Danio rerio: one gene and its partners. The protein of the gene in region 1 purifies or fractionates together with the protein of each later gene. This does not show direct contact. Links are inferred from orthologs where the notes say so. Each region holds a gene or a part of one and is shown in the gene's direction. Other genes may lie near its edges.

Region 1 (8,191 bases):
GAGCAAACTTGGGAAGATCGAGGCAAGTCAGCTCCAATACAGTGAGGAGATTTGAGTTCTTTTACAGTCCGGAATTGTTGCAGAAGATGATTTGCACCACAACCAATCTGGCATAAATACGCTCACAGTCATGGCTCTGAGCACCATGTTTAGACATTATTATCCACTTCCTGCTGGCATGCCACTTCTGAGGTGAATGCTGAGTCCCCCAGCAGCAGGTGTCAGGATGATTTTTCCCTTCAGCTAAGGTTTAACCGACCTGATCTTCCCATGGCAGGACACACTGTATCCTGAGGACTGGCAGGCTCTGATAAAAGGGGACGACTGGGGCCTGGGAATTTCTGCAAGATGACGGAGAATCTTTCATCAGCAAACGGTCTAGTCTGAATTTAGCAGGCCCTTCCTCGGTCCCTCCCTCCGGCCATGAGAAAACTTCACATGTCCCAAGAGACATCCTCTGCCCCCAGATTATCCTTCTCTCTCTCACTCTCGCTCAGAACTGCATATGCTGAATATTCAATCAGTCAGAAGAAGCATGCATGAGGTTGTAAGAGACACACAGAACTGCAGGTTTTCAGATCTTCCTCTGTTTGAACGAAGAACCAACTCTCCCAATTCACAGACCTCCAATCTACGGCCAAGTTCTTTGATTGAATTTTGCTTTGGACAAAAGTTCATCATAGAGGTCAGCGATTTCCCATCAGCATCCCCAAATAATTGATTAACTTTGGTATGTTTATACAAAGCACAGAGGAAATGTTCGCAATGTGTTTCTCGGTGCCACCCTGTAATAAAATGAGTTTCTGGGAACTCAGGGGTCCAAAAAAACATGGTCATCGGTACATAAGGCAAACTGGTTACCGTGCCTCTTCAAAGATTATAAAAATCCTCTTCCAGTGCCACATTTCAAATGTCAAGACGAATCATGTATCTGTCTGCACACTTAATATGATAAAAGCAGTGATTGCTCTGCAGCCACATACAAGATTCCTTTACTAATGCTTTAATTACAGACTACTAAACTAATTTACTAGGCTTAACTGAAGATATACATAATTTTTTCTTGTCTACTAGAATCTTGATCAGTTTAAACTGAGCGTGTAATCAATATAAAAGTTTAAGATCTAATGTAGGCTAAATGTTGGTTAAAACTTTTCTGCAGTGTTTAATTAGCTAAAACATATAGATGTGTACATAACATCACGATCACTTTAACAGAATTAGAAAAAAAATCTGCATGGGCTGCTGTGCTCTCTCAGAAATAGGTTGGAAATGATGCTGAACAAGTTAATTAAACACGAGTATTTAGGTAATGATGACCTCTAGTGGTACCTTTATAAAGTGCAGTTGAGTAAATTATCTTGAGAGGAAAGGATTTTCAATCTTGGCTCCGGTGCCAATGGGGCAGTGCAATGAGCTTTGTGGAAATGCTAAAGAGAAAAAAAGCATAGAAAAATGTAGCCTGTGTGCGTGTGTGGAAATATATATATATAAACAGAAAAACAAATGCATAGTAAAGCAAACACAACACGTAGATAATACAAAATAATAATAATACAATGCCTAACATTTTAAATAAACAAAATAAATTTATAATCATATTTATAAATAAATAAATATAGACAGACAGACAGACAGACAGATAGAGAGACAGTGTAACAATATGTTATACATTTATATTTCTTTCATGGTTTAAAATGGTCCTTATGGGGAAAACCTGTATAGGTGTCTTTTACATTTAGGATAGAGGTCCCACTAAAGACGATAATGATGACATCTAAAAGACTGGCAACCCCTATTTCAATTTCAAGGGGCAGACTTCACTAGCGAAGTAAGCAGTCGCTTACAGGGAATTATGGGGCCCTGAAAAATGACAATGTCTATAACCATTACGATTTTAACAACATTACTTCTTTTTAAAACCGGGGGCCCCATGAATAGTGCAACGTTCCTCCGTACAGCAAATGTAAAAACTAATCATAAATATGTCAAGTAAACTGTACATACAGTATAGTTTGTGAACTTGTGTGTGAGTGAGTTTATTGTATTTAATTTTACATTAAGAGGATTAAGGAAGATTAAAGGAGTTTAAAACATATTTTGAAAAAAAATCTTTAGAGAATGAGAGTGTTTTGAGTTTCATCGCTAGGGCCCCACACCTGAAATTGCTTAGAGCCCCAAGTCCGCCCCTGCTCAATGGGGTACAACAGTACATTTAGATTTATAGATTTATGTAGGCTAGTTGCAGGTGGGAAATGTGCCATTTTAATAATCACAGTAACATTACAGCGGTTGGACTTTACAAATGCAGCAGGGCCTCTGGACTGTAACATTTGTTTTTGGAAAGAATACGCAAACAATTAGGCAACAAAAACTAAACTACAAATCATCGTCTTTACCGAGGCAGCAATAGTGCAGGAGTGCAAGAATTTCGTATCCTCAAGGGTTCCCCTGGGTGCAGAAAGTCTGCAGCGTCAGCTCACTGCTTTAGCGTGATGTAAACGAACGTGCTGGCGTTCTCAGGTGAGCTCGAGCCAGCTGGGGGCTCATCCGTAACTCTGTCTCGACTATTTTCCCCTTTGCGCGCGCTCGGCGATTAGCTCGTTCTGTCTTCTTGACAGCGCAAACATGGCGATGACGGCAGCGGGACGAGAGTTAGACAAGTGAAATAAAGCCTTATATTCTTGTTTACTGCTTTGCACATCCCTGAAAACATACACAAGGAGACCGGATCGTTAAATAAGCTGTTTAAGTGTTGTTTTTACAGAGTTAAATTTTGCTTTTTAAAGGTATTTTAGGATTTGTGCCGTATTTTAAGTGGAGGTAAGTTTAACTCCAGTACGATGTATAAAAGAGCAACCGCAGCTCACCAAGGCCTTATTTAGTTCACTCGTAAACTTATGAATGTATGATGTATACCATTTTTTAAAAAGTAAAAACACTATTAATGCAGGGTTAGGGATATTAACAAACCGCTCAAGCGCAGTGTTAAACTTGTGTACGATGTCCCGCAGCGCTTGTGCTATGAACATCAACGGTGACCTAACCGGTCAAAGTGACCAGAATAAATACAGACGAGGATGAGGTGGACTCTTTAGACTCGGGCCAGTATATAACCACTCGTTATACCATAGTAACTACATGTAAGGGTTAGCTTGTCAACCACATTTTAGTGAATGCGAGTTTAAGAAATGTATTTTTATGCACACACATTTTTACTCATTGTATAAATTAATATATAAATGAATGCTTATAACTAAGAATAACGAATTTAGTTACATTTTGTAATCTTGCAAAGGTCTGACGCATTAATTTCTGTACACAGTAGACAACATTTGAAGTGGATCAAAACCTTTCATCAAAGTTATCCCAAAACTATTGAACAACACCCACATATAGATGATGGATGGATGGATGGATAGATAGATAGATAGATAGATAGATAAAACAATACTATATTTGTTTGGTAAACATGCAAACTGAACCAAAAGACCCATACAATAGAGGTGTACAGTAATTACATGTTAATAAAGAGTAATTACATCTTAATAAAGAGCATAAGTTTTTATTTACAGAAGCGAGCTGGAGCCATGACTGCAAGCACAGGTGGCGGTGGGAGCTGTTTATCAATGAGTCTGTCTGCTCTGAAGAGACTCGACCCCTACATCAGCAGCATCACAGACCTAGCCAGCCAAGTAGCACTCTACACCTTTAACAACAACACCAATGAATGGGTAAACAACAAGATCATCTCCCTTAACATAACATCTTAGTGGATAGAGATATTTATTTCTACTGCTACAAACATAATATTATTGTTTTAAATTGTAATATTATTTTTCTCCGACTTAAACATAAATAGATCAATGTATGTTTTTGTTGTGGTTTTCTGTAGGAAAAGACAAATGTGGAGGGAACTCTGTTTGTCTATAGCAGGTTTGTTTGATTCTTACATGTTTTTAACAGTGAAGCAACACCCACATGTACTGTATGGCCCTAAATCAGAGCCCTAGAGATCTAATGTGGCTCTAAGGGTCAGAGAAATAACCTGCACAATATTTCTCAGCATTTAGATGTACCACTGTTGTCTGCTCTTACACTGCACAACACCCACATGCAGTTTTGTAGGTCCTTCAGACTCATAAGCTTTAGTTTCCCACTCATGCTACGAGTTTTAACGTCAGTTCTCTGTGTATCAGGCTTGCCTCCCCCAGGCATGGCTTTACCATCCTCAATCGCTTGAGTATGGACAACCTGACTGAACCAATCACTAAGGACTTGGATTTCCAGCTGCAGCATCCATTTCTCCTGTACAGGAACGCTCGCTGTAAGTCTGTCTTTTTGTTGAACGAGCTCAAAGTCATCAGAGTGAAATATTTTAGACTAAACCAAAAGACTGCAAAAATATTGCTAAGCCCAAAGTATGCATGTATAGTTGATTTAAATGAAGAAATCCTTACATAATACAGTGTGTCAAAATATATGTGATGTGAGCGAGAGAGAGAGAGAGAGATGGCTGGGTGATAAGAAAATATTATCACATATCAATGATGTCTCCTGAGCAGGCTAATGTTGATTATGACATTAAATTATTGGGTGATAATCAGCATTATTGGGTTAAAAAAATAAGATTGTCAAGTAAATGTATTCTATCTAGATGATATTTATTTACCTTTACATTTTTCACAAATGTTTATGGTAAAGCATGTCAGCGATATATATTTTAATGAAGCACATTATTTCAGAAATGCAGTTACCTAAACTTATTTAATTTAGCCCTATAAATACAGTTACAATAAAATATAGACATTATAGATAATATATTGACCAATTAAGAAAGTAAGTGAAGTTTTACAAACTAATTTTGAGAGAAGCACGTTATATCAAACTGACTATAAATAGCCCGACTAACATTACTCCCTCATTTTAATTTTTTGAAGAATCCCCCCATGCCCCCCATCTTCCCCTTTCCTCCTGTACCAAGAGAAGCTCTCAAGAACTACCTGATCTCGTACCTCCTTACATGCTAACTGACCAGGAGGGAGCCCTGGGCTCAATTATCTCCGAGCTCAGGGTTCTCTCTCGGGACAGCATGCCAAACCTGCTAACACTTGAAATGACAAATGGGAAAGACGAGAAAAAAGTTTAATGGCATAAAGAAAAAGCATGGACATAAATTCAGCCTTAGAATTGTAAATGTGTTTATTTTATTAAAAATATAATTAAAATGAATGGACCTGAATTTAGCTGATTTATTGTCAAATTAAATTTAACAAAAGGACATTCAGGCTCGTTATCTTTTGTAATCAGTTAATCAGGAAAACAAATGCACTTCTCTGAAGTTAAAGCTTTACGACGATGCTACAAACTCTTTCAGAAGGACTGCTTGCATGCAGGCACACAAAACCTTTTTTGGCTTACAATGGAAATTTTTTAATATTCCTCCATCAATTACATTCTCCCTGGGCTGGCGCATGCAGCTTTAGACAAATTTATCATGAGGTAGTCAAGATGGCAAGATAAAGAGTGATTTAATTATTATTATTTGGTCATATTAATAAGCTATCACTGATGTCATTTAAAATTCACTTTGCTCTATTTCGCCTGCAGGAACAGACTGACTCACATCTAAAATGTTTTTAAAACAGAAAAAAACATCATCCAGACATCTAAAAAATAGATTGTGACTATTGCTTACAGTGATGATGTTAGTTTATATCCGGATACGAGCTTTAGAAAGGAATGCATAAGTGAAAGAGAAAGTGAACAAGAGAAATGATGAGGTGCAGGGTCAACATATATTACGCACTTATTTGTTTGCACCACAGGCTATACATTATCTAAATAGACTATATAATATAAAGGAAACTTGCTTGTGCACAATTTTAGTCAATAATAAAATGTATCTTAATGATTGTGTTATGTAGGGGTAGACAAGGGGGTTCACTATAAAGACACATTTAATATGTGCTGGGCGTCCTCCAAAAAGATAAGCAGCTCAGCATCCGTCTGCTCTGCCCTAATAGTGGCAGTGAAATAGTGATATAGTTTTTTTGGTTGTTCAAATGAGATCACCAGACATTTTTATTTATTTATTTATTTATTTCCAAATAGGTCTAGGGATCGTGCTTGCATCACCATTTACAACAAAGGGTAATGTGTGTTTAATTTGGAATGCTCAGAGGTTGATTGTCTGGTGAGAAAGTAGTCTTTTACTAATGTTCAGATTTATGAGTGTTTAAGGCCCAGGTAAACTTTGTTTTCAGTTTTCTGCTCCATCTCATGCACAGTTTAGTGAGCAACGCTTTCAAAATTAATTGACTGTGAATGTGGAAGCACATTAAATCACTGGCCCCTCAATGCACTAGACTGCAAGAACAAAAAAAAAATCAGGCTGCACACAGATGGTGTTCACAGACATCAGCCGACTGTGCTAATGACAAAAGTTTGACCACCTTCAAATGTGACTGATATAAATGAATTTTGACATGTATTAAGGAGGATCAATGTCAAACAGAAACACATGTTAATAACCAAGGTGTAGATGGGCAGGGAGCAGAGGGAGTGCATCCATCCAAAAACTTCAGAGCTTAATTGCAGTAAAAGTGTGTCTAGATTGAAAAAGCTGTCATACTGGTGAGTGTATGTGTGTGTGAGAGAACGAGAGATCAGAGATCGCTGGCAGGCGGGCCTGTTTGAGAGGCCCCAGAGCCACAGTGCCTTATATGGTGCAGAGAAGTGTGTGTTTCTCTTTCAGTTTCCTGCCAGCATCATAGACCCGACCAACCAATCCTGATTAGATAACAACCCTCTCTAACACGCATACATGCACAGGCTTCCAAGGAAATTCATGATAAGGAGACCTGCAAATAGAGTGCATGGAGAAAAGCTTTAGGCTTTCAAAGTAGAGAAACTACTTTAGGCTTATTGAACAAATCATTGTAGATCCTGATGTTTCAGCCAGTCCAATAATGAGCTTTGACCGTGAAATTCTGTGCATCTGCTGACGGTCTGATGGGAAACTTTGTGCTGGCTACTTTGATGTAGGTGAGATTTTACAGGCAGACTATTTCACTGATTTAATTCCCCTTGAGGGGATTTTATCTCTGATCAATCTTGCTGCACCAATGCTGGAATGTTGTGAGAGGTAGCCAAGAAGTTGATTTGCATTTGTCAAATGTTGTTAGTGGCTGTTTGTGCATTGCAATGCGATTGCTAAGGTGTTTTGGCTTATACTCCGGTGTTCTCAACAATCCTCACGAGTTCTTTGCAGAATGACTGAATGTTTAATTAAAATAAAACCAAAATCGCAATGAGGCTTAGTGAGTATATCAAAAGGCTGTGAATTTATGTATGAGCGTGTTTGAGTAAACCACGGCTCTTCAGTAAAAGGAAAACATTTAAGCATGTCATAAATATTTTACAGCCATAAACAAGTCGCTAAGATATTTTTATAGCCTTGACATTTTTTGTTATAAAACTTTCAAGTCAAATTGCAGTTGTAATTCTTATAATAGTTACTTTTTTCCCCCCAATATTGTCCCACCCTAAATCCTTCATGACCTGGATCAAACAGTTTCAGTACCCGATTAACAGCTAAATACTTGGTAGAGCCAATATGGCCATAACAAACACTACTAATTAGGTTTCACACAGCGAGAAGTCCTGCATTGTCCATCGCTCCTCCTCGTGTGCCAAGGGTGCTGGATTCTGTCCACTCATCTCTTAAACAAACGCAGTGTTGTGGTTGTGATTTGTAACGGGATAGCTGGAGACTTTCAGCAGGACTGTTAAGTATACAAAGCTCTTACCTCCTGGCCGCACATGTGTGTAGCCCAGCTCTCTCTCCGATACAAGCTTCCCTTTGAACCGCACCTCCACTTCCTCCTCCAGTCGCTCATGCTTCAGCCTGCGCCAACTGAACAGCCCCCGCAGCATCTCCTTTTTTTTCTGAGGTTTGAATCCTCAGCAGATTGAAGCTTTGGTCTATTTGAAGTCGGTCACAAGTTCACAGTCTCCTCAGTGCTCATGTGGATTCAGCTCCATTCAGTAAAACTCGCAGCAAATGCTCCTGCACTCTGTCTGACTCAATGTGTGGTTCAGGTCTCTGTTTTTCTTTTCTTTTTTGTGTGTGTATTTTGCCAAGTTAAACTTCAAAAGCGCTTCCAAAATCCTCTCATCCTTCTCTTCG
Region 2 (8,446 bases), on another chromosome or scaffold:
GTAGCATTTGTAAGACAAATAAAATTAATTTTGACATATAAATGCTTGGATGCGTCATGAACATCACTGCTCCTGTCAAAACGGCTCCGTAGTAACTAGATGAATACAGGTAAAGTTGGTTTTATATTCGCACATTCGTTCATTTAGAAGTCCCTATATTGTTTACCATGTTACTTTAAATATTCGATTGGAATTAGCATGCAAGTATGACTTCAAAACAACATTAACACAATCTATTTGACTTTGAACAATGTTGTACTTTGATATTAATTTGCTGCTTATATGATTTCCCTAATTAGAACTGGCAAAGAATACTTTTCTAAAATTATACTATTAAGGAAAATGTCTGACTATCCGAATCTAAAACCAACTTTACCTCTATACTAGATGATGCTGGAGACCGTTATACATGATGTCCACATCTTAACTGTAACTATGATGGGTCAAAACTACAAAAACACGAGGGCATTAATGCTAAAAATGGCTTGCTATCGTTTTTATTATTGGAAACATGCTTTACAAATCACTCAAAAAGTTGCAGAATGATGAAAAGCTGTACTTACTACTTCTCCAAGCAAGACAACATTTTCTCCTCTGACGACAAATATCCCTCGAGGTATGTCACCAAATTTTTTACCTACATGGATACGTTCAACTGTCTGATGCAAAACTAGATTGGCTGTGGAAGAAAAAAAAGTAACGTGTTAAAATATAATTGTAGTTTTGCTAATAATAAAGAAAATAAAAAAGCTCACAACTCTTTTTTTCATACCATTCCAAACATGACCCCATTGGGAAAAACAAACAAACAAAATAAAAACATTTTGAATACAGGTATGGGCTGACAAACAGCAACCAGACATTTTACACATTGAACAGAATTTTATTTAACGTTAAGACCTCCACCTGAACACCACTTAATATTTTGAAGTGATAATAAAAATAGGCTAAATTAACGGCCTCTTTACATACCAAACTGATCTATACTTCTGAGGATGCCAATTAACGTTCTTCCATCTCGAAGCAGTACAAGGTGTTTTTCTGTGAAATGAAAACATTGTCAATCACAGGAATACCTTTTAACTCGAAGATATGTCAATTTCATCACGTGATCACCTAAAACACCTGCATTAAGGTAAATTAATCGAACTAAATAACTAGATGAGGCTACATAAAATAAAGTTAAGCTTGCGTAACAATAGAACAGAGCGTTCAGGTTATACTTGTCGGTTTACCACTAACATGACTTTTACAAAAATCATTACAAAAAAAAAAAACAGTCTCGCCGGTGTTCATTCACTCGAACACATTTTCTTATTTCGCAATTAACTTACTATCGATGTCCTCGATGAGGCTCGCGGTCCCTGGCATGTAATTCATTATGCTGACATTTGGGAATTGTTTTTTAAACACAAAGTATCAAGCCATGGACTATTTCAAACGCGTATCCTTTATTCCACAGGATGTTACGCAGAACCAAACGCTTCCGGTGCAAATTTAACCATTTCGGTTACCAATGGTTCAGGTCCATAGATATATAAACGTTCAGGTCCCTTCGTATTTTTGATAGTGTATTTACGTGAACTGCAACGACGACTATAGTTCGATATCATAGATGATTATTTTGATGTACAATATTAATAATAAAACTTTGGAGCAAAATTTGTTTATTAATTTAATGATAATATATGGGAACAAAAATAGTCCAATTATACCGAAACCCTAAAAGACACACACACAAAATAAATAAAATAAAAAAAAATAAATTAAAAAGCTATAACAATGTATGCAATTTTAAAATCTTTTTCTTATGCGATTTTTTTTTTGTAATTTCTATATCCCCTTATTTTTATTTTCTTTTGTGTTTGTGTTTTTTTTCTACTGATGTTCCTTTACTGTACAAAAATGTAAGCATTGTATTCCTAATTTTTTTGTATGCTATTGTTCTCGTTATGCAAATAAAATTAAAAAAAAAAATCACAGATGATAGTGGTTAGATTACACAATTTGTTTGCTATCCCATTTACTAATCTGTTTGAGTCGGATCTTTAAAAGCAACCCGTTCACAAACCTTTCTCTCGAATTGACTGAACCACAAAAGATAAATGCAAAGCACAGAACAGTGAAATTACAATCATTATAAATTATTAAACTATAAATCATTGTCCACGTTTATTAGTGTTGAAACAGAAGACTTACTGTATGGGCTGTATGTATATATATATATATTTGTTATTGTTTTTATTATTGGTTTTTGCCTCGTTTATTTTGTTCTGAATGTCGTATAAATATCGTGAAGTTATTTTATTATTTAAGCAAATTAGAATGCAAACATTTTTGTAATACTCTCTCATTCGTTTTTTTATTGTTAATGCAAGAAGGATACATACAAAACAATGCCAGAGGTATACAAAGAATGAAAAGTATAAAAAAATTATATAGATACAAAAACTCAATAGGTTAAACAAAATAAAACAACAGAAAAAATAATAATATTACAAATAAATAATGCTAGGCCATCTCACAATAACTTATAAGTGTCAAACAAATACATGGTTTTAACAGCTTTTTTTTTTTTTTTCACTCTCCTTAATTGTATTTTTATAATTATTTAGTTATTTAAGTACCCAAAACAGGTTTATGATTGCTAAATTTACATCGATGGATATGAAACTTTGTAAGTATAATCAGAAGATTAATAACTTAAGCTTCAATTTCCAACTTCTTATCATAGTTGAAAAACAAAACAAAAATAACATATTCATACAGTAAAAGAAAATTTCAACACTTCCAAAATTTGACAGCACTTCCATAACCATTTTGTATACAAACAATGGCAGAAAATATGAGGTACTGTTTCTGAGTATAAAACTGAACAATTGACATCCATGTCTTCAATAAATCTGGTTAAAAAGCTTAACAGGGTAAAATTTTTGTAAAATCTTAAATGGTACTCTCTCATACGTTGCGCTCCAAGTTCACCAACTATGACGAAATCCCCTGCTTAGGAACCCGGAAATGTAAAAATTGTTTTATAAATATATCGAATTACCAATTGATTGCATTTTATTAACGCCCACCCGAACCCTAAACCTAACCCCCACAATAATTATTGTTGCTCGGTAATTGCATTGTAATGAAATATTTATTATTTTTAACTTCCGGCCGTACATGGAGGTGGCGTGAACAGCGTACATGTTTCCTATTGGCCAGTTGAGCTGTCAGTTAAGGGGTCGGCTGGTGAGTTGAAATGAAAGACAGTGCCGTGCTTCACCAGTGTAACACAAATATTGCAAATAAATACCGTTGACGCATCTAGCTGCAGCATCTTGTGAAACGTGGTGGCGACAAAATAGTCTCTTTTAAGTAAATCTGTGATTGAAAGAAATTAAATTAAGGCAAAAAGAGTTAGTGGCGTTACAAGGAATGGCTTTCGATTCAGCTGGCAGCGACAGAGGCAGAGGTGAGGCTTCGTGGATCATGCATCAGCAAATGCAGCCTGAAACCAAGTCACCCTGGCCTTCAAGTTACAAGTCAGAGAACAATAACGTTAACTGGAACAACGGCATGGTAAGTCCTTTGTTTACAGATGCCGTCGAGGTATAAACACACACTACAGAAGCCGTTACCGCATTTCTATCATTCATGCGGCAAAAAATCATCTAGCTGCACGCCACTGACTCAGTAAGGCCCACTGGGTATGTTGATAAGTCGTAGGGTAAAATCACATGGTTTGTTTAACGTAATGTTTCCAGGTAAAGGCATACTGTATGACTGCGAAACACTGAAGTGTTGCGTGCAAATTTCATTGATGACACCTTGGGTTTAATACTTTTAAAGCAAACAGTTTTTTTTTTTAATGGAATGTGTTTTCAGTAAGTCTTTTACCTTATTCTGAGCATAAACAATTAACTCACTGATATTGTGAAGAATATATGTTTATATAGCCAATTTCTTAGTGCAGGTCAACACTATCAGATTGGTTGCTAAAATGCAACCGTGTGTGGATCAATTTGGACTCGGTGGTTCTGAAATCTGACCCCCAGGACAAATTGCACTGCCCTTTGTGTGCATGCGCGTCACACGGTTGAACTTCGAGTGAACGCGATCCCTATACGACATGTATGTTATACATGGAGTGTGTGTGAGTTTATTAGAGTTGTGGAGCGTTTAAAATATAATCAAGTTTATTACTTGATGTGCTGATGCTAAGGATTGTACCTTCAAAGTAACATTTAAAATTATGTTTGAAAAATAGTTGTTGTTTTTTTTATTTTATTAAACATCACTTAGGCCAGGGCTAAAACTTTTTACTTCAGGACTCACCAATTTTGCAAGGGCCCTCTATACCTTACATTTCATCTTATACTCCACGTGAAAAGTGTTTCTTTCTATTTTATTTTATTCTTCCTCTGCATGTTCAACTCAAATTCACACACTTTACTTTACATTTTAGCTATTGTTTATTACTTAATGAAAACCATCTACTCAATTCTAACTTTTTAAAATAATACATAAATTAAATATTAAGTACTTAAGCTAAACTGGAATTGGGCGGTTTAAAAGACCAAAACAAAGACCGACTTTCTGGGACGTAATGCACATTTTCAGAGCAGAATATCTTACTTAAGCATTGTTTTTCAGAAAAAAAAAAAAAACAAGTTCACTTAGCATGTTTTTTTTAATTTCTGCAAATGTATTGTATTTTTACGCTGTAAAAAATTCAAAAAGTTACATACAGCACCTTTAAATTCTTCTTAACTACATGAACAAAAGTGGCTTTTAAACAGAGAACAATAGACCAATTACCAACCTACGTCATACATGACGTCACGCGGGTTCCTGGTTGCAAAAAAGTCAGGCTGCAATAGGAAAGATGTCATGTTGTGCGGTAAGATGCCAAATTAGATGCCAATTAAAAAAAAAAATAGAAAACGTAACTTTTATCATACACCACACTGCTTTAATGCTAACTGCAGACGTTTTGGCTAAAAGGGAGCTGAATGAAGTGACAACCTAATTAGAAATGCTGTACTCTGCAGTTGTCATGTCATATCAGGTAAGTTGACGCTATGCTGAATCAGACACATTACTCGTTTTTGATTGCAGAAATGATTTCAGCAAAAACTGTTACAAAGGTGAATTAAACTGCCGACACTGAATGCTAAGAATGAAACGTGAAAGTGTAAGTTACTGAGGTAAACTTGGTTTCATATTCACACATTCATTCAGTGACAACTTGTGACACACTCCCTATATTACCATGACACTTTGAATATTCGGTTTGAAATAACCTGCAAGTGTGACTTGAAAACAACATTAACACTGTTTATTTGACTGTGAACAATGTTGTACTGTGATAGTCATTGGCTGCTGATAAGATTTTGGCAGATAATACTTTTATGAAATTATATTATTAAGGAGAAAGTCTGAATGTGCGAATATAAAACCAACTTTACCTCTATGTGTAGGTTCACATATCCTGCCGTACAGGTGCAGTTCGTTGTCAGAATGCAGTCGTTTTGCGTGTTGGTGATTAATTACACGGGGCTTAGCTTGTATAACGTTAACTCCGTCTTCTTTCCTTGTCTTTGGCTATGCAGAACCTCGGTTTTTAGCTCTACATAGTGTTAAATCTGGTCATCATGGAGCATTATTTCTTGCACATGACCACACAGAACACTGTTGGCATCCAAAGACTTGTACACCTTTAACTTCTATCTTGTAAAATCACTTGGAGCTTCAATGAGATTGTATGTTTGGGACTGGATGCTTAGTTATTTTGTCTTATCCAATATTCATTGGGAGGGTGCTATCCAAATGAACCCGTCAGACGAACGCCGCTCACTTTAACGTTAATTTTGCCGAATCACTGTGCTTATCACTGGGTGACGAGCTGTTATAATATGCTGAAAGCATTATGTAAATAATATATATAATGTGCAATCGATATATTTTATTTCTAAGACAACAACAGACTCTGTACTGCATCGGATGTCATTCCCTCGCTGTAAATGCTAGCGCTCCCGGTTTTTTCTGCCACCTCCCTGTGCGCGCATCCTGAATGTTAACAAACATGGTAATTCGTCTATAGAGTAAACATTTTAGTTTGTCTGTGCTGGTCTGTTAGGCCCCGTTTACACTGCCAGTTAAATGTGACCCAATTCCGATTTTTTTTGCCAATATGTGACACAGATCGGATCTGTTCTATGACCATGTAAACACAAAAAAAACGCATGCATTCGGATATTCAGAGATCGGTTTCAGGCCTCCTTCATATGTGGAAATAAATCAGATATAGATCGGATATGTGACAATGCGACTGTTATGTAAACAGGCAGATCGGATTTATTGAGGCGTTTCATTCTGTACATCATTAAACTTGCAACAATGTGGTGCTTCTCCGCGGTTTAATAACATAAGGAAGAGCGTATGTGGAGATGACGGCGCGGTAAACAACATCAGAGGAAACAGAGGAGGAAAGTGGTCAGTCGCCACAATTTGCTCCTACCAGACCTGAGACCTCTCTCGTTACCCATACATTCCTCTGAATGGTGGAGGATATACAGCACATGAACCATAAGTGCAAGCTCCGATGACGGCCCTTTCCCACCTCCGCCTCAAAATAATTTTAAAGTTGGGCAAACTTTGTGTTGTAACTTTTGCTTTTTGTCGCTATTAATACACTCACTGCGGCTTCACATAGAACAACTTTATTCTCTCCAACACCAGTGCGCAGCACTGCGCGCACAGGCAAAAGCTACATCTTCAACTACACACACACACACACACCAGGGCCATAGCATTACATAAACTGTGTAGGGGTAACTCTGGACTGAACTGAACCATTCACTGATTTTACTACACTTCGCATATTTCGCAGAGCTAAAAACAAGACAATTTCTTCCATCGTGGCTAGTCCCAGATAGCAGGTAGTAATTGGCCTGAGCTTGGCTGCCCTTGAGCCCGAGCTCGGCTGATAACACTCGGCATCGGCATCATTTGTTAGCTCCACGTTTAATGACAACTTGAGAAAATATCCATGTTACGACTGCAACAAAATAATAAGACTATTTTGTGTGGATGGTTAGACGCAAACAAAAAATTATTTATAAATTGATTGTACATATCATCATGGCACAGATGCTAGAATCTGCCTTTATGCATGCGCGACATCGTAAATTGTATGGGAAGTGTAAACGCATGAATTGGATATGGGTCACAATTAAAACAACGTGTAAACAGACAGGCTAACAAATCAGATATAGGCAACAAATCGGAATTTGGGATCAAGACCTGACAATGTAAATGGGACAACAAATATTTATTTAGGCCGGAACTACAAAACCAAATTTAAAATAATTTTAGTTTTAAACTAGTGGGGTTTAAATCAATGAATGCAAATAATCGTGATAACTGTGTAACCGTGATTTTTTCTTAGACTATAATCGCACACCCATAATTTATAATCGTTGCATCCCTACATTTAAATACCATTTAGAAATAGCATACGTTAGTATAAAATGCATGGTCTTAAAATATACCTATTACAATATTTAGAAAAAGTTATTCTCAAGAAAATGCATTCTGACAATGTGTTCTTTTACTTTAAACTTATCCGACTGTCAAGGCCCGTGCACACCGGGACACTTTTTGCTCACGTTTTCTGTCAACGTTTAACACCTTGTGACTAAATAAAGGGTGCCAATGTGATCGTGCACACCAACGCGCAAAACGCCAGGCGCAAAAGCGTCATTGAAGCTACTTGAACCATGCATGCTTGTTCGAATCGCCAGTAACTTTAACAACAAGCATGTCAACTTTCTCTCTTCTTCCTCTGTGTTACAAGCAGGTGTCAGAAGCTTAAAGTAGTGTAGCGCCATCTAATGCCAAGAAGTGGTTTCGCATACTCTTCTGCTCGATGCTAGTAAAAATCGATTGGGTTTGAATACAGAAAAACGTCTCAAAACGCTTATGATAAGCGCAAACGAAAAGCGTCCCGTTGTGTACGAGGCACATTATTGTGAAATATATTTGAGGAACATTGTTTTTAAACATCTCATTACTTTTCTCACGTATTTGTTGGCAAACTGGTGATCCATCTTTCCTCCTAAAGGACCAGACTTTTCTTAGATACAGCTTTTGTACCAAATCATAATTACAATCACCTGTTGACATCACTTATTTTAAATCACATCATTATTTAACCAATTTTACCTGATTGCTGGTCCTAAATTGCTTTTGTCACACCTTTTTTTTGGGAATGTGTTAGAGGTCTAAATGACAGGAAAGGATGTATATTAAAAATTTAAGTTGGCTTTAAAAAACATGAAATATTTCATATCACAGTTGGACTTTGTGATGCATTTGTTTTAGTTTCTTTAGGCCAGTGGTGTCCAAACTCGTTCCTGGAGGGCCGGTGTCCTACATTGTAGCAAATGTTTTT
Region 3 (7,722 bases), on another chromosome or scaffold:
TGATGAATACATTCATCATGGTTCTTGTTTTTTCAGATGCCCGCTTCTCCTGGCAGCAGTGCTAGCAGTCTGACCATTGTCACGGCCATGAGCAGCTCAGACAGCGGTGCAAGGTGGTGTATTTAACTAAATGTTTTCATAGTAAAACTTGATTAAACCTTTTAAATCTCATATTAACTTCACAATGTGCAAAAAATGTCATACCGTTTGTCATCTCCTGCAATCAAAATGCAATATTTTTTTTTCTTTTAGAGGTGGAGATGATCTGACTCAGAGCCCTAAAATGTCTGTTGAATGTGTCAACAGCAGTTTCGCCAATGCAGGCAGTCCAAGATCCAACTCCATCCTCATCTCAGGCCTTGGGGAAAACATCCAGGTACCAATGGAAATGTCATTCTCAATGTTGCAATATAGCGTGCCTCAGTAGGTCTTATCTTTGTTTCAGTGTAAGAAAGATGTTGCTTTACACCAGGTGGTGAGATCTACTTTTCTGCAGAGTTCCGCTTCAAGCCTGGTCACACAACTAAGTTAACTAAGTAGGATTTAAAGGAGCATTTGGTAAATAAAGAGAGGTGCATTTAATCAGGGTTGCAGCTAAACCAGGCGTGTCCAAACTACGGCCCGCGGGCCATCTGCGGCCCGCAATCAGTTTTGTGGTGGCCCGCGAGGCTTTTTATAAATAATAATAGAATCTGGCCCGCTATACAAAAATGAACGTAATTCAATAAATAACCACCGGGTGTCGCTATTACATGCATTCAATTAAGCAGTAGTTCTTGTTATGATCTATCTATCTATCTATCTATCTGTCTGTCTGTCTGTCTGTCTATCTACACACAGTTGAAGTCTGAATTATTAGCCCCTCTTTGATTTATTTCTTCTTTTTTAAATATTTCCCAAATGATGTTTAACAGAGCAAGGACATTTTTACAGTATGTCTGATAATATTTTTTCTTTTGGAGAAAGACTTTTGTTTTATTTCGACTAGAATAAAAAGCGGTTTAAATTTTTTATGAACCATTTTAAGGTCAAAATTATTAGCCCCTTAAGTCTTCAGAACAAACCATTGTTATAAAATAACTTGCCTAATACCTTAACTTGACTAGTTAACTTTATTAACCTAGTTAAGCCTTTAAATGTCACTTTAAGCTGTATAAAAGTGTCTTAAAAATATCTAGTCAAATATTATTTACTGTCATCATGGCAAAGATAAAATAAATCAGTTATTAGAAATGAGTTACTAAAACTAATATGTTTAGAAATGTGTGGAAAAAAATCTCTCCGTTAAACAGAAATTGGGGACAAAATAAATGGGGGCTAATAATTTAGGGGGGCTAACAATTCTGACTTCAACTGTATATATATATATATATATATATATATATATATATATATATATATATATATATATATATATATATATATATATATATATATATATATATATATATATATATATATATATGCGTGTCTGTGTGATGTATGTAAAATTTGGCCCGCGACAACGTTTGTTTTTTTGCATCTGGCCCTCGGCCCAAAAAGTTTGGACACCCCTGAGCTAAACTCTGCAGAAAGGTAGATCTCCAGGAACAGGGTTAAGAACCACTACTTTACACACTCCCTGTAGTACCAACACAGTACTTTATAAAAGTTTGGGTATGGTTTTTGAAATGTATGTCGTTATTAATCAAGGATGCATTCGATTTATAGTTCACTCAAAAGGAAAAGGTGGCTCACCATTTACCAAAACCTTTGGGTTTGATTTCCAGCTTTCTTTAAAATATTTTTTGTTGTGTTTCACAGGAAAAAAAATCTTAATCTGCATTTAGTGCCAGTAGAGGCTGAGTAAACTTAAATACAAAAGATTGCTTGAATTATCCCTTTAATTCAGTTAGTGATAATAGAGTTTATTGTTGTTACAAAAAAGTGGCATGTTTAGTAATGTTTTTACTTTTAAATAAGAGCTTTGTTATTTCATAAGCAAGTGTTGTCCAAGTGTACCATTGAATAATAATATTATATTTACTGAACATTTACTAAAAGGAGCAACAGAAACCTAACTGTTAAACACATTTTTATTATGCCCTATTTTTTACAATTTTTATCTGTAAAGATTTTAAAGAAATATTTTTAAATGTGAATCCTTCAGAAAGGCTAACTTTTTTTACCAAAAGTAAACCTAAACTGTTTTAGATTTTTAGCTTATGTATTATTTATTGCTGATGATGTCTTTTTGTTGTTGTAATTAAATTAATAATAATATACATATATAATCGCTGAATATATGTGACATTTAATGAATGTTGTAAATTTGATCTGGTTTTTTTATGGAATAGTCAGAGAAGCTGATCAGACTTCCTCACTCACAATATAAACTGTCAATCCTTCAAATTTGATTCCAAATCATTTACCAATTCTTCTGTTTATCTGGCATCCCTCTATCTCCACTTTTCCATTTAAAATCCCAATCTGGTTAGGCTTTCGCTCCCCCACTGGTTCTTTCTTCATCCCTCCTTCAAGAAGCCTCTCTGCTCTGCGAAGCTGCTCCTTATTCTCACCGACTCCCCCTCCCTTATTTCCCATCTCCTCCTCCGCAGGTTTCCCCTCCAAACCCTCCTCTCTCTCTGGATCTCCAGGCAATAGATCCCATGGTTGTCCCACAGGCGTCTCCAACAAGAGCTCGCTCACCGGATGTCATCTCATCTGCCTCTACTGCAATGTCCCAGGACATACCTGAGATTGCCTCCGAGACGCTGCAGAGGGGACTGTCCGGTGCCAATGCTGATTCGGGCCCCATCCTGCACTCTGACAGCATGGCATCAGCCGCATCAATTCTCCACCTGCTATCTCCAAGGGCCCGGAGCAGCGCTGAGCACAGTTTGTTGCCTCTTGAATTGGGTGCAGCGTCTGTGGATGGAGAGCAGAGACTCAGTAACACACCATCCCTGCTGGAGACTGCTCTCTCACAGGAAAACGCCGGAGCAGCCGGAGGATCCTGTTCTGACAGCAGTGTGAACCACGCATGGCCTGCTGCTCCTGATATCACGCGAGAGACGCGCAACAGCCTGCGAGACAACGGTTTAGGAGACTGGTGAGTACCTGTGCTTTACTATAATATATGTAATTTTATTTTTGTGTGGGTATGTTACAGTATATTTTGTCTTATTTATGCTTATGCATTTAACAATTAATGACATTTTTCATATTTAATACAATTTTAGTAATTTTAGCAGTTTTTCTAAAGTATTTTTTAGTACTTTTCAAAAGAGATGCCAATTTTTTTAGACATATGTTCATTTTAGACCACACGATACCACGGTTTAAACTTAACTGAAATAACAAACAGATGTTAGCATGGTTTTCACTACATTGGTTCTTCCATGGCGGGGCGCCACACCAAAATTCATCCTTTACATTCATACATTACAGCTTCTCATTCAAAACATTCAGTCGTTTTTTTTTATAGCGGGTAATAATCACACGAAAACATATTAAAAGGTAAGTGAATTATAACAGCGCAAACTTTTCTCTAACCATAGTAGTGCTGTGCGTAATTTGTTTACCCCTTTTAAGTGACAAACTGACTGACAGGTGCGTGATGCGTGAGGCCAGCAAACACGACATAGCTTTCAGTTAAGATGAACACAGTTTCCATTATTATATTTATAGATAAAGGTCTATGGCTCTGCATACAATGACTTTATCTTGCTGGAGTTTATAGCCGCTTCACTTTACTTCAGGATGCTTCAGTGCCGCTCTGCAGGTTCTAATAAATGTTGAAGACCTAATAAATGTTACTAAATAATAATTAATGTTAAATAATATTAAATGACCTAATAAATGTTATATAAACTAGTTACATGAACGCACTAAATTGCACTTCAGCAGCGTTTATTTGAGAGCTCACAATAAAAACTGCTGTTCAGCCGCGTATATTCGAGGGGGTGTGCAAGAAGTGTGCACGGATAAAATCAGCGTGCAAGTAAAGAGATTTGCATGTTTGTATTACATAAATGCGATCTCAACTTGTAATACCGCACTCACAACATTTGTCATTGAAATAACGCCACAGGTAGATCTGTGCAAAAGGCCTGCCGCCACAGCTGGAAAAAATCCTAGAGGAAACACGGGTTAGGGTTTACTTTCTTTGTTTTTCATTTATTAAACCGTTTAGATTCCACCCATTTACGACAGAGATCCACCACCAAAAAAGTAGTATGACAAATGACAGAATTGTAGATTATAATTATTAAAAACAATAATCATGGAACAATAGGTACAAAGTCAAGATTGAAACGGGTCTAAAAAATTGTGTTTCTTACCAGAGGGCTGTTTCATAAAAGTCATTTAGAAAATTGGGGGTTAAAGTCAAAAGCCTGACTTCTTTGAGCTTAAATAAATGCAGATGGTTAAATTTGTTCCATAACAGCAAGTTGAAGATCATTTTATCTAACTAATCGGAGTTCAGCTTAAATAATCTAGATAACTGCTCATGCACGTTGCTGTCCTGTAACATGGTCGAGCATGGATCATTGGGATTTTTAATTTGCTCTGAAAACTCTGCAATTTGCTGCTTTACCTTTGACACTTGTTTCCCATGTCCCGCGGGAAAGTATCTATTTATTTATGTAACCTACTTTTATATCTGTCATTGTTTTTTTTTTTTGTATAATTTTGATTTTATATAGCTAAGTACACCCCTCACAGATCTCTGGTTTAAATTAATATTTTCTACAGGATGCTTTATAATAATATGTTTGTCCATATACATTATATTATTCAGTACCAAAGCAAAATTTGGAACTAATCTAACAAAAATATACTGAAGATCAGTCCAATTTATTTTGTATTTGATTCATTTGGAATAACTTGTTTGAATTTATATGTACATGTTGTTCTATTCTTAAAGATATTTGGTGTAGGTGTGCGTGCGTGCGTGCGTGTATGCGTGTGTGTAGATAAATGGGTAGATATTTACTATTAAGTGACTATAAAGTTTTTTTATTATTATTATTTGTTTTATTATTAATATCATTATTAGGCACTTAAGTAGAATAAAATGGCATTAAATTATCACAAGTGAATGTTAACATTACTTCGATTAAGCATGAAATAAAGACTTGCGCCCCATTCATGAGGGGCTTCAGCATGAACGTTTGACAGAGGGCATGTCTGAAGTCAGCCAATGAAATTAGTCAGCAATAGGCCACTGTCTGAGCTGGTGTATTTGCATACAGCGATCTGATTTGCTGACGCTTCTTTTGGCACTTAAAGTTGAGCAAATTCATAAAAAGTGAATGGGAAGAGTTGAAGCTGACGCCTCGTGTGAATAGGGCGTTAGCCTGAGAGTTAACCTGCCCCAGGCCAGGCTAGTTTCCCAGCATAATTTGCCAGAGGAACTGAGTCTGAACTATCATGAATTTGATTTATGAAACGGAATCCACCATTAATAAACCTGACTTAACAAAACAAGGCTGGCTTTTTCTCTAAGCTTGGTTTATGGAACAGCCCCCACTAATCATTTTTAACAACATAATGTTCCCAATGCTAATATTTATTTGAAATTAAGAAATATTGACATTTTACTTCAACACATTCCTAATAATTTCAAAGAAACTGAGAATCTTTAAGTAGTTTCTTAATTGTTTTTATAGCTGTATATGCACACAAAGTATAATTGTATCTAACTTATGACTTTATACTTATCTGTTAATAATATTAATAATAATTATTATTATTTATTTATTAATAATGTAATATTATTTTGCATTTATTAATGATCATTCGAGGTTTTATGATCTGTTTGTTATGTATAATACGTTTTAAACAGTTGTAATACTTGAAAGTGGAAAACTATAATGCTTGTTTTCTTCCAGCTCTAGGGAGGAAATAAAAGACAGGCACATTTCCTCCCCCTACCATAGACGCACATATCACCTGACTCAGAACGACAGTCAAGATGCAAGTGCAGAGCAGAGGTAAACCTTTACATTCTGGAGTCTACAAATTTTCTGTAGCGCAGATCTAAACATTTTCTTGACATGTCCACAACACAAGCCAAACTCTTCCAGGCTTCAGCTGCAGCATTGGAGAGCTAGTCAAAGTCTGGCATTATGTACATTTTATTGTAGAACTACAATAAACTTTGAATTACTGACTACTCATTTCAGGCAGTTTAGAATTTGACAACTCAAATTTTTATTTATTTTATATATATTTTTATTTATTAATATAAATTTTTGACTACTTGACAACCCTTTAACATTACAATCAGCTTTATGACGCACTGCATGAAGGGCAACATCTGAAAAACTTAACTTTGAGGCACTTAACCTTTTATATTTTTTTGTTTTGTCATGTTATATAAGCACTTAAGGAAGCTTTGCAGTCCTTGAATTTCAATTTAGGAGCTTTAATAGAAGATCTGGTGTGTGGACTAAAATCAGGGTCAAGATTTAAATTAACATTAGCGGCAACTGTGAAATAAATGTCTCAGTGGTTGACTGGTCATTAATTAGGAGCTGTAACATTACATGATTTCAGTCAAATTGACCGAATGATAGTGTAACCTTTGCTGTATGTCAGGAATGTGATTTAAGCAATTTAAATCAAGGACATGGAGGCTGTCTTTAAAAGGAAACCTGTCACAACTTTTACTTTTTTCCCCTGCAGGAGCAGTTTTACAAAAGCTTCCTGTTTATTGTTCTAAATTGAATTCTTAACTGAAAACAAAATGGATGGAACTACATTCTAAGTTACAATGTTTCTTTATTATGATTCTTATAATGTGTATATGATATGTAGTATATCATAACATGAATATACCATCAATGGAGACATGCTTTATTGCAGAGAGCAATGGTGTTCTGTAGGAAAATTCAATAGCATTTTAAATAGTATCATTTTAAATGTGGAGTCAACCTCTGTGCATACTTTAGACTTAACATAATATGTTTGATCATATTTAAAAATAAAAAATGAAATAAACTTTTTTTGGTTAATTGATCATTAATTTTGCATTAATTACATGGAACAGGTCAAAATGCATAACTAATGACATTCAAAGTTCAATTTTCATTTCAACCATTCAATAGTTTGCTGTTGCTACCATTTTTATGAAATCAGCCTCTAAAACTGCATTTTTATTTGTTTAAAAAAAACGGTTAAATGTTGTTGAAGATTATCACAGTTTTCTTTTTTGTAAGAAAATTTTAAAAAATCAAATAAAATGATCACTGTCCCTTTTGATCAAATTTCAAGCATCTATGTGGAATACTTTAGGAGAAAAAAAAAGTCTTAATGCTGTGTTCACACCAGACGGCAGGAGGATTTTCCCCCGGAACGTCAACAATGGGTGCTATGTCATAATCATGCCCCCACAAGAGCAAGTTCCTGATTGGTTAACGCAGCGCGAATGTCTGCTGAAGTTCAGATTTTTGAACTCGAACGTTTCACGGGAAACATGCGATACACGCGTTAAGAGGATCAATCGCGCAAAACACTTAACTCGCACCGCTTCATTAGCTTGAATCTCGTCATTGCGGTGCCTCATTCGCGCATATCGTATCGCAGGATGTCTGTTCACATCTTTGCATTAACTTAATATGTAAATCACTCACGATTGATACTTCTTACACTTCTGGTGTGTATATTATACAATATACTATATTGTTGTGTGTATCTACTGAGAACTTGTTTCATTTTCCTTATGGCTGCATTTAC
Region 4 (8,380 bases), on another chromosome or scaffold:
TCACATAAACACTCACATTAACACATGCATATACATATAAACTTGCTGCATGCAAACACACCTATACACACTCGCATATACATATATACTTGCTGCATGCAAACACACCTATACACACTTGCATATACATATATACTTGCTGCATGCAAACACACCTATACACACTTCCATATACATATAAACTTGATCTATGCATATACACCCATAAACTCTCACATAAGAATATAAACTTGATGTGTGCATAATCACCCAAATGACACTTGTGCAAACATACAAAATAAAATTCTCAAACATATATACAGTTAGTTGTGTATATACATATATGTAAGTGATTTCATATGTGTGTATGCATGAATTTTCACAGTAAAAGGAAGTTATTTCACTTTAAAAGGAAGTAGTTTAATTTCAACGTAAAAGTCCTTTGAGTGTAATGAACAAGATTATTTTTTGTCATGAATCAGGTTATTGCAAACTTTAAGAAACAGAAATAATGTGATTAATAGAAGAATTACATCTGTTGAATTATGAAAATAGATTATGCTAATTCTAAAAAAAATAAATAAAAAGATAATGCTAAGGAATGCTCCTGCAAAATTAAAGGTTTATTATGCAATTAAATTATTGGAAATGTTATTATGGTTTAATAAATATAAGGATGCTTAAGTAATCATTTTGAATAAAATATGTTTGTCTAATATTAGTTTTTAATGTTTGTTTTATTATTGGTGTCACTATTCGTCAAGGGTTATGATACACACTTATGTCCAGTAGGGGGCAGGAATGCACTTAAGTGGTTTTCCCCAATAAACAGGCTAATGCACCAAAATGCTGGATGCCAGCTGCTGTAAAAATATAAGTAGTAGTTATTAAACACAAAAGGAGTATCCAGATAATATATATGTAGCTTTTCCATGGGGGTTAACTTGACCAACATGATGAGCAGAGACTTTTAATCAGCAGGGTTTTTTTTTTTTTTGTATATGGTGAATAATTAACAATCAAAATGATACCAAAAATCTTGCAATTTTGACACCCACATTGTAAAAACATATAAAAAGCATAATAATTATAAAAATTTTAAAAAACAAAACAAGAAGACTATAGGCATTAACATTAACATTTGCAATAGAAAAGAGGAGTTCACTTTGAGTGTACATTTATATTTATAATTCTGGTTGCTTTTTGAACATCCTTTAAGGGCTCTATCTGTCCATTTATATTTGTGTATGTAATTACCTAATTAAATGAAAAGGTTTTAAATAAAAATATTTCTTATTTTGAATAGTCTATTTATATAGACTAATATTTTATTTAACATATGTTCATAATTTAACATATTTAATCCCTCTATTAATCACATTATTTCTATTTCATAAGCTTTGCAATAACCAGATTCCTGATAAACGTTTGTGAATCTTATTTATTTATTTATTTTTTGTATGTTTGCGCGAGTGTTATTTTGGGTGTTTATACACGCACTGAGTTTAGACATTGGGGCTATATGCCAGTATAGGTGTGTTTGCATGCAGTGAGTTTGTGTATGTGCATGTGTTGTTGAGGGTGTATTTGCATAGACCGAGTTTATATGTATATGCGATTATGTATAGGTGTGTTTGCATGCTGCGAGTTTATATGTATGTGCATATAAATGTGGATATTTATGCGAGAATCGAGTTTATCTGTATATGCGAGTGTGTATAGGTGTGTTTGCATGCAGCAAGTTTATATGTATGTGCATGTGTTAATGTGAGTGTTTATGTGAGGATCGAGTTTATATGTATGTGCGTGTGTATGTGGGTGTATTCATGTGTCAAGTTTATATGTATATACACAAGTTTCATTCATGTTGTTTTGAACATCCAGTAGTATGGGTGTATATGCGAGTAATTTATAGGTGTATATACACGTGTTTTATGTATGTGTTGATAAGCAAAGTTTGATTTAAATCCTACACGGCACCTCATAAATAACCCTGAGCAAATACCTTACAACTCCATGTTACGTTACCCTGCATTACTTTGTGCCTCGCGCTCCCTATAAATGATCATTTTGTCCTATTTCTCACACATCTGTAAACACAATATCGACAAACTGATAGTAACAATTGAAAGGTGTTTGATAAAGGATGTCTCTCATCATAGACAATCATGATAGCCTTATTTAATACACTTTCTTTGTATATACTATTAATGCCCTTTTGTTTTATACCCAAGAACTTACTGGCTGTTGTTACCACCTTTCCCAGTGACCTCTTCTGGGCCTCAGAAGCATTTCCATACCAATAGATCACACAAAATGTTGCAATAATTTCAATAAAAACACTAGAAAATATGATCAACGATGTGTTGTCAACAATAAAAGACAATCGTTTCTTTAAGAAGTACATTCTCTGTTGCCTTTTCCTTATAGACTCAGTCCACTTACGTTTCCTGTCCAACAACACATCTAAATATATTTGGATGTAACTGCATTTAGGTGAATTGTATAAACTTAATTGGCTGCAGTGTATGAGTGTGTATGGATGTTTCCCAGTACTGGGTTGAAGCTGGGCATCTGCTGTAAAAAAAAAAAAAAAAACATATGCTGGATAAGTTGGCGGTTCATTCCGCTGTGGCAACCTCTCATGAATAAATGGACTAAGCTGAGAGAAAATTGATGAATTATTAGGTTTAATGTATATTATGTCAAACTTAAGGACACGTTCGTCATCGTGCTCAAAATTTATGTTTTTTCGCAACGAAAAATAAATAAATAACAGACATACTAATGCACAAAAATGTTACGTTACGTTAAAAAACTACTTTCTAGCCACATAAGTCAGTCTAATTAGTCATTAAACTACTCAAGGCAATTCATTAACTACCTCCAAACACCTCAGGCGTGCCTATCAACAGATTCCTACTTTGTGCACTTCAAGCCTCTTCAACAATAATAAAATAAGCATTATTATTAAAGATAAAATATGTTTTTAAATACCCAAATAAAAAAACAGTATGTCTAAACCACATGGATCCTTACACCAATTAGTCAAGTATAAACACGTTGAGCTAATTAAATGACACCCTTCACATGCCGTGCTTCAGCCAAGACTACAACAAGCTCAGGTAGGAATTAAACTGCGCTGCTATGTAATTAGGACGTTTTTAAAGCAAAATGTGTAATTGTGACGACCTCAACCGCTTACAAATAAATAAAACATAAATAAAACGAAATTCTAAGAGCTTAATTAACGTATTCTTAATATATATATATTTAACAACGCATTTGAAATGACGGCAGCATTAAATTGCGTTTTCTAAACAATCGTCATATGCGTTGCGTTTGTGTGGATTAGACAGGGCTCTGTCTCATGTGACTGATTATGGGAGGGTTTAAAGATGACTGGAAGCCATCTTACACACTCGCTTTACACCCCGAAATATGTCACAACTCTACACCTATAATTCACAAACACAAACACACTGAAAGATATTCTCTGCCACGTTTGGTAAGTTTGCAGAACGTCAAATCTACGTGTTGTGTTCTGGGGATTAAGTCGGTTTTGTGGGTTTCTTTGTGTCTTGGTGTTTACAAATTTGTGATGTCTTTTTGGCTCGCAGTGTTTGTGTTAGCTGATTTAGTTAAGAGTTAAATATGTTCTTGCTTCTGTTTTAGCGTTTATGAAACGAGCGTTTAGTTCTTTATACTGGTGATTGTGAATCTGAGGTTACGCGTGCGGCCTGTGTGCAAGCCAAAAGCTAACGAGCTTGAGCACTGCTAATATTTCCTTCCTAACAGCTTATATATTTAGATTTGCTTATAATAAAAGCCACATTCCATCGTATTATGATAACCGTGTTTGCTAAAGATTTAAAATGTATCCGACTATTAAAATCTGTCTGGCTTGAAGCCGTCAGCGGTAGCTGCGTAGCTAAACATTAGCATTAACGTTTGTTGCGTGACGCCGAGTTTCACGTTATGTGGAATCAATACGGTTAACCTTTAAGATGTACATTTTAGCTTAATAACTACAACGTGACACTGGTTATATCGTATAACATAACATTGTTTTTTAGTATTCGTGGAATGAGTTCAATGAACTATACGCTTTCGCTTAACTTAAGGTAACCAAACATTTGTTATGTCTAATTTTAAGCTCCACAGCTGTGTAGTCAACGTGCAACTTCACCTGTTTTTATAGATGCATAACAACACTGAAGTCACATTTATTAAAGTTTGTCATTTTTAAATGCTTTAGGTAAACGCGAGGCTGTTTTACAATGAGGCCTATCGTGTTGACATTGTGCCAGCTGCTGCTGCCATCATTATTGAACTCACATTAGACATTTAATAACGTTTATGGTCTGTTCATAGATCTGAAAATGAATTAAAGTTGTAATTGGTTACAAATTCAAGAGACTTTTTTATCTTGACACTTCTACCAGAGCTTGTCCCTGTAATTTCTGCATGAGTGTGTGTTAACTCTTTTGATGCTGTAATATTGCAGGTAATTGTAGAAGTATAAGTGTTAGTGCTAGTTTGTGGTAAAGATGCACAGAGCAATTAGCACACTTTTTGTTAAAAGAAAATTAAAATGATGGAACCTTTTATCAAACCCAACCTTAACCCTGATCTCATCTTGCATCACAAAGTTTCACATTAGACCTCATACGATGTCTTGCTTGGTCGACATTAGGCATGGGCTGGTATAAGATTCTGATGGTATGATAACCTCGGATAAAAATATCTCTGTTTTACGATATTGTGATTACTCCTTTTAAAATATATTCTAATTAAATGTCTGGGTAAAAAAACTAACTTTTTTTTTCTCCCCTTTCAACACAATTTATTTTATTTAGAGAAACATTTGATATATTTTGTAATGGTAAACATGTTAGGCTAAATAATTCAAATGAATCATTGGCTGCGTCCGAAACCGTATACTTCCATACTATATGGTATGCTAAAATCAGTATGCGAGTCGAGTAGTATGTCCAAATTCATAGAGTTCGAAAATCAGTTTGCGAGAAGTACCCGGATGACTTGCTACTTCCGGTGAGATTCCGGAGTGCGCATCCTATGCACGCTGCGCTGTCCCATAATGCCACGTGAGAGAATTCATAAATGGAAGTTAAGCAACGCAACTGATGCAGGTAGGTCACGTGACCATGACAAAATGGTGGATATAGTACGTCCGAATTCTGTCCATACTTTTCACATTCATACTGTATAGAACGTACGTTTGTAACTGCCGAGTAGTACATTTAAATTCAAAAGCAGTACCTACTGAGTAGTAGGCGGTTCGGACACAGCCTTTGACTAATGCTGTCTTCATTTGTTTAAAAAAACACAGATTTCCTTACAATTTAAAACAGCATCTTTGGATTTTTTTTTTGATTCCTTTCTGCTGGAAATACTGTTGTCCTAAAAAACCAACAACAACAAAAAACAAAACTTGGACATACCTTAGGAATGGTATAGTAGGAAACTTTTGCGGTTTTAAAACCTTGGCTTTTCCAAACCGTGGTATACCTTAAACTTATCGTCCCATGCCTCGTCGACATTGCTTGATCTAAGCACTCAATGACTAAGTTTACATTAGTAATTAAATTATTTGCCTTAATCTGAATAAGACAGTAATATGATTAAGGTGTTCGCATAAGTTGCAATTTGTATGTTCTTTTCATGATCCTGTTTTACATGTTGTAGCACAATTCAATTAACTTCATAGAATCGCCACGCTATTCACATTTCCTCTGGGATATCATGTAATTTCCGGTGTTTTAAATTTGTCGACTTTAACTGCAGTTTGGCACTTTCACTCAGGAACATTTCATGCATGCCTCCCCTGACAAATGAAATATTGGATGAGTATTTAATGCTGTAAGAGGGTCGTTTTATTGGAATTTGATAACGCACGCAGTATTGGAAACATAAACTCCACATTTCATGATGCAGGTGTCTGTGATTCCTCACTGACTCGGTAGGTACAGAGAATAGTGTCAAACAGCTGTGTGTATGAAATGTCCAGTCACAAAATGCAGCAAATCCCACATGATGGTAATAGTTTCATTCAAGGTGTTTACATGTCTACTGCAGTTTAGTAATGTGACTAAAATTGGCATACTCCATGTCTTAATCTTATTTGTTTAATTTGATAATGACCTTAATCAGATTAATTTATCGCTATTTGCATGGACTCTTAATCAGAATATTGTCTTAATCACGTTTACATAGACACCAATAAAGCAATTTTTATATACTCATTGTTCATCCTTCTCTTCTCCTTAAGTTTCATAAATGGTTCAGATGAAGAAATATTTTTAAGTTAATGTCCGGATGGCATTAAGCAAGTTTTGCATATTGAGATTTTGCTACAAAATGTTAACATGTACAAACTTGATGGATCAAAATTTTTGAATTTGTAGTGATTTGGGAATTATCTCAGATCTTGTACAAAGCGATTTATTTTTAAAATCTCTGTTTACCAATTTGCATATGGTGTCATAATATTAGCCACTATGAAATCTTAAAACTTGTGTGTGTGTGTGTATATTTATTTATACATATATATATATATATATATATATATATATATATATATATATATATATATATATATATATATATATATATATATATATATATATATATATATATATATATATATATATATATATAAGATAAAAACACAAAACAACACCAGCAAAATAAGAAAAGATCTTCATCTGTAGGGCTGGTCCATTTGGCCTAAAATCAAAATCTAAAACTAACCATTTAGAAAATTCAACAAATATTTTATTTATTTGCCCTCAAAGTTTTATGTGCTGTCTAAAGGCATTTCTGGCACAGCTTCCAATCCTCGTCAATGTAGTGCAAAGTAAGGCTCAAGAATGAGTCCATCGTCCTACTTGACCAAAGGTCATATTTGGCTACAGAAGTAGAAATTAGCCACAGCCTTTAACAAAGCAGGGTCACCTGACACGTAGGGAAAGTACTTGTGAAAATTGTCCTGGAAAAATTAGATCGATTATTAGTGAATGTTGATTTCGATTAATTGCCTAGCCCTATTCATCCATTTTACAGCACGTTATGCAAATCCTCACAACGCAAATTTTTTAAAAAATTCACTTAATTTTCTCACAATGCAAACAAATGAATAAAACGCACTGCATTTTCTTATAATGCAAACTTATGAAAATGAAAAATGAATTTCATCACTGCAATTTCTCACCGCACTATCAAAAAGCACAATTTTTTTGTGATCTTTTCTGAATTTGCTGGCATTTTTTTGTATTTGCATGCTTTTTTATTTTATTTAAGCTCTCTTTGCTACTGTAAGATGTGGCATGATGCCAGTTTTTTTTTTTTTTTTTTTTTGGAAAATCCTCTAACTGAAAAAAAAATTGGAACCAGTAACCAGTGTTTTTATTGACTGAAATCTTGTAGTGGTTTGGTCTAACGTTTCACGTTTATAATGCTTCTCTCTCTCACACAGGTGGAAAACATTTGAAATCGCCCATGTTAACTAATTTGAGAGAAGGGAATGGACAGAACAATTGAAAAGACTAACACTGGCTTCCTGGCCCCTTGTCTGTGAAACTTTCCTTTTGCAGAGGAGAAATTCACTCATTAATGGAAGGATAATTGAAGCTAATCTTCCTGCTTATAGCATCTGTGACCTGTTGCTTGAGTGACATTCATATTGAGATGTTCCACAAGAGACTTTTATATTGAGGAACAAGGAACTGGTAAAAAAATTTTGCTTGAACTTTTTTTTTTTTTTTTTTTTTGCTTTTGTGCGCTTTGGACACTGAGAAAGCTGTGGGAAGGACGACTTGCAAATTAATTTTTTTGCAAGACCATCAAGAGAAAGTATTATCTCCACTGTTGTTTGTCGCTCACTGTTTCAAGAGAGAATATTTAAGTCATGAGTACAGCCAGAATGGAGAACCCAGTGATTCTGGGACTGTCCAATCAGAACGGCCAAATGCGAGGTTCTGTGAAGCCAGCAGGGGGTCCCGGTGGAGGTGGAGGGGGGTCCCAAACAACACAGCCTGCCCAGGTCAAAGCCTCTAGCACAGTCAACAATGGCAACTCCCAGCCTGTACCCACAGCCAACACTATCATCAAGTAAGTCCTTGCAAATGCCGCTGTGTGCTGCTTTCTTAGAGATGATTTGGTATTTAACTTTTTCTTTCCCTTCCCATGTATCAGGCCTGGAGATGACTGGAAGAAGAATCTAAAGCTTCCTCCAAAAGATTTGCGAATGAAAACATCAGTAAGTCCCTCTGTAATTTTGTGTTTTTTATTTAATTTTATAAAGGCTGTGAACCACAATGCTTTTTTGATTTCTTTAACATTTCTAGAACACTCAATGATTGTGAATTTTGCAGGATGT

What was found.
Region 2: the proteins of dcp1b (region 1) and bag4 purify together in Homo sapiens (affinity purification with mass spectrometry; 3 studies listed by BioGRID and IntAct, counting the BioPlex papers as one, with this or other methods). This does not show direct contact. The link is inferred for Danio rerio from reciprocal best matches to the Homo sapiens genes DCP1B and BAG4.
Region 3: the proteins of dcp1b (region 1) and edc4 purify together in Homo sapiens (affinity purification with mass spectrometry; 3 studies listed by BioGRID and IntAct, with this or other methods). This does not show direct contact. The link is inferred for Danio rerio from reciprocal best matches to the Homo sapiens genes DCP1B and EDC4.
Region 4: the proteins of dcp1b (region 1) and ddx6 purify together in Homo sapiens (affinity purification with mass spectrometry; 6 studies listed by BioGRID and IntAct, counting the BioPlex papers as one, with this or other methods). This does not show direct contact. The link is inferred for Danio rerio from reciprocal best matches to the Homo sapiens genes DCP1B and DDX6.

What each region holds. Positions count from the first base shown.
Region 1 is NC_133179.1:20,904,161-20,912,351, reverse strand, and holds the start of dcp1b (mRNA-decapping enzyme 1B), read left to right. Parts: upstream 1-2,616; 5' UTR 2,617-2,823; intron 2,824-3,562; 5' UTR 3,563-3,590; coding exon 3,591-3,734; intron 3,735-3,895; coding exon 3,896-3,936; intron 3,937-4,199; coding exon 4,200-4,327; intron 4,328-6,798; exon of another isoform or gene 6,799-7,047; intron 7,048-7,811; coding exon of another isoform or gene 7,812-7,938; exon of another isoform or gene 7,939-8,191. Other genes in the region: cacna1c (voltage-dependent L-type calcium channel subunit alpha-1C), read right to left, coding at 7,812-7,938. UniProt on the Homo sapiens protein: May play a role in the degradation of mRNAs, both in normal mRNA turnover and in nonsense-mediated mRNA decay. May remove the 7-methyl guanine cap structure from mRNA molecules, yielding a 5'-phosphorylated mRNA fragment and 7m-GDP.
Region 2 is NC_133183.1:54,296,405-54,304,850, reverse strand, and holds the start of bag4 (BAG family molecular chaperone regulator 4), read left to right. Parts: upstream 1-3,283; 5' UTR 3,284-3,426; coding exon 3,427-3,570; intron 3,571-8,446. UniProt on the Homo sapiens protein: Inhibits the chaperone activity of HSP70/HSC70 by promoting substrate release. Prevents constitutive TNFRSF1A signaling. Negative regulator of PRKN translocation to damaged mitochondria.
Region 3 is NC_133193.1:23,282,234-23,289,955, reverse strand, and holds part of edc4 (enhancer of mRNA-decapping protein 4), read left to right. Parts: intron 1-36; coding exon 37-113; intron 114-252; coding exon 253-376; intron 377-2,477; coding exon 2,478-3,091; intron 3,092-5,876; coding exon 5,877-5,978; intron 5,979-7,722. UniProt on the Homo sapiens protein: In the process of mRNA degradation, seems to play a role in mRNA decapping. Component of a complex containing DCP2 and DCP1A which functions in decapping of ARE-containing mRNAs. Promotes complex formation between DCP1A and DCP2.
Region 4 is NC_133193.1:46,836,955-46,845,334, reverse strand, and holds the start of ddx6 (probable ATP-dependent RNA helicase DDX6), read left to right. Parts: upstream 1-3,063; 5' UTR 3,064-3,104; intron 3,105-3,399; exon of another isoform or gene 3,400-3,487; intron 3,488-7,477; 5' UTR 7,478-7,909; coding exon 7,910-8,112; intron 8,113-8,196; coding exon 8,197-8,260; intron 8,261-8,375; coding exon 8,376-8,380.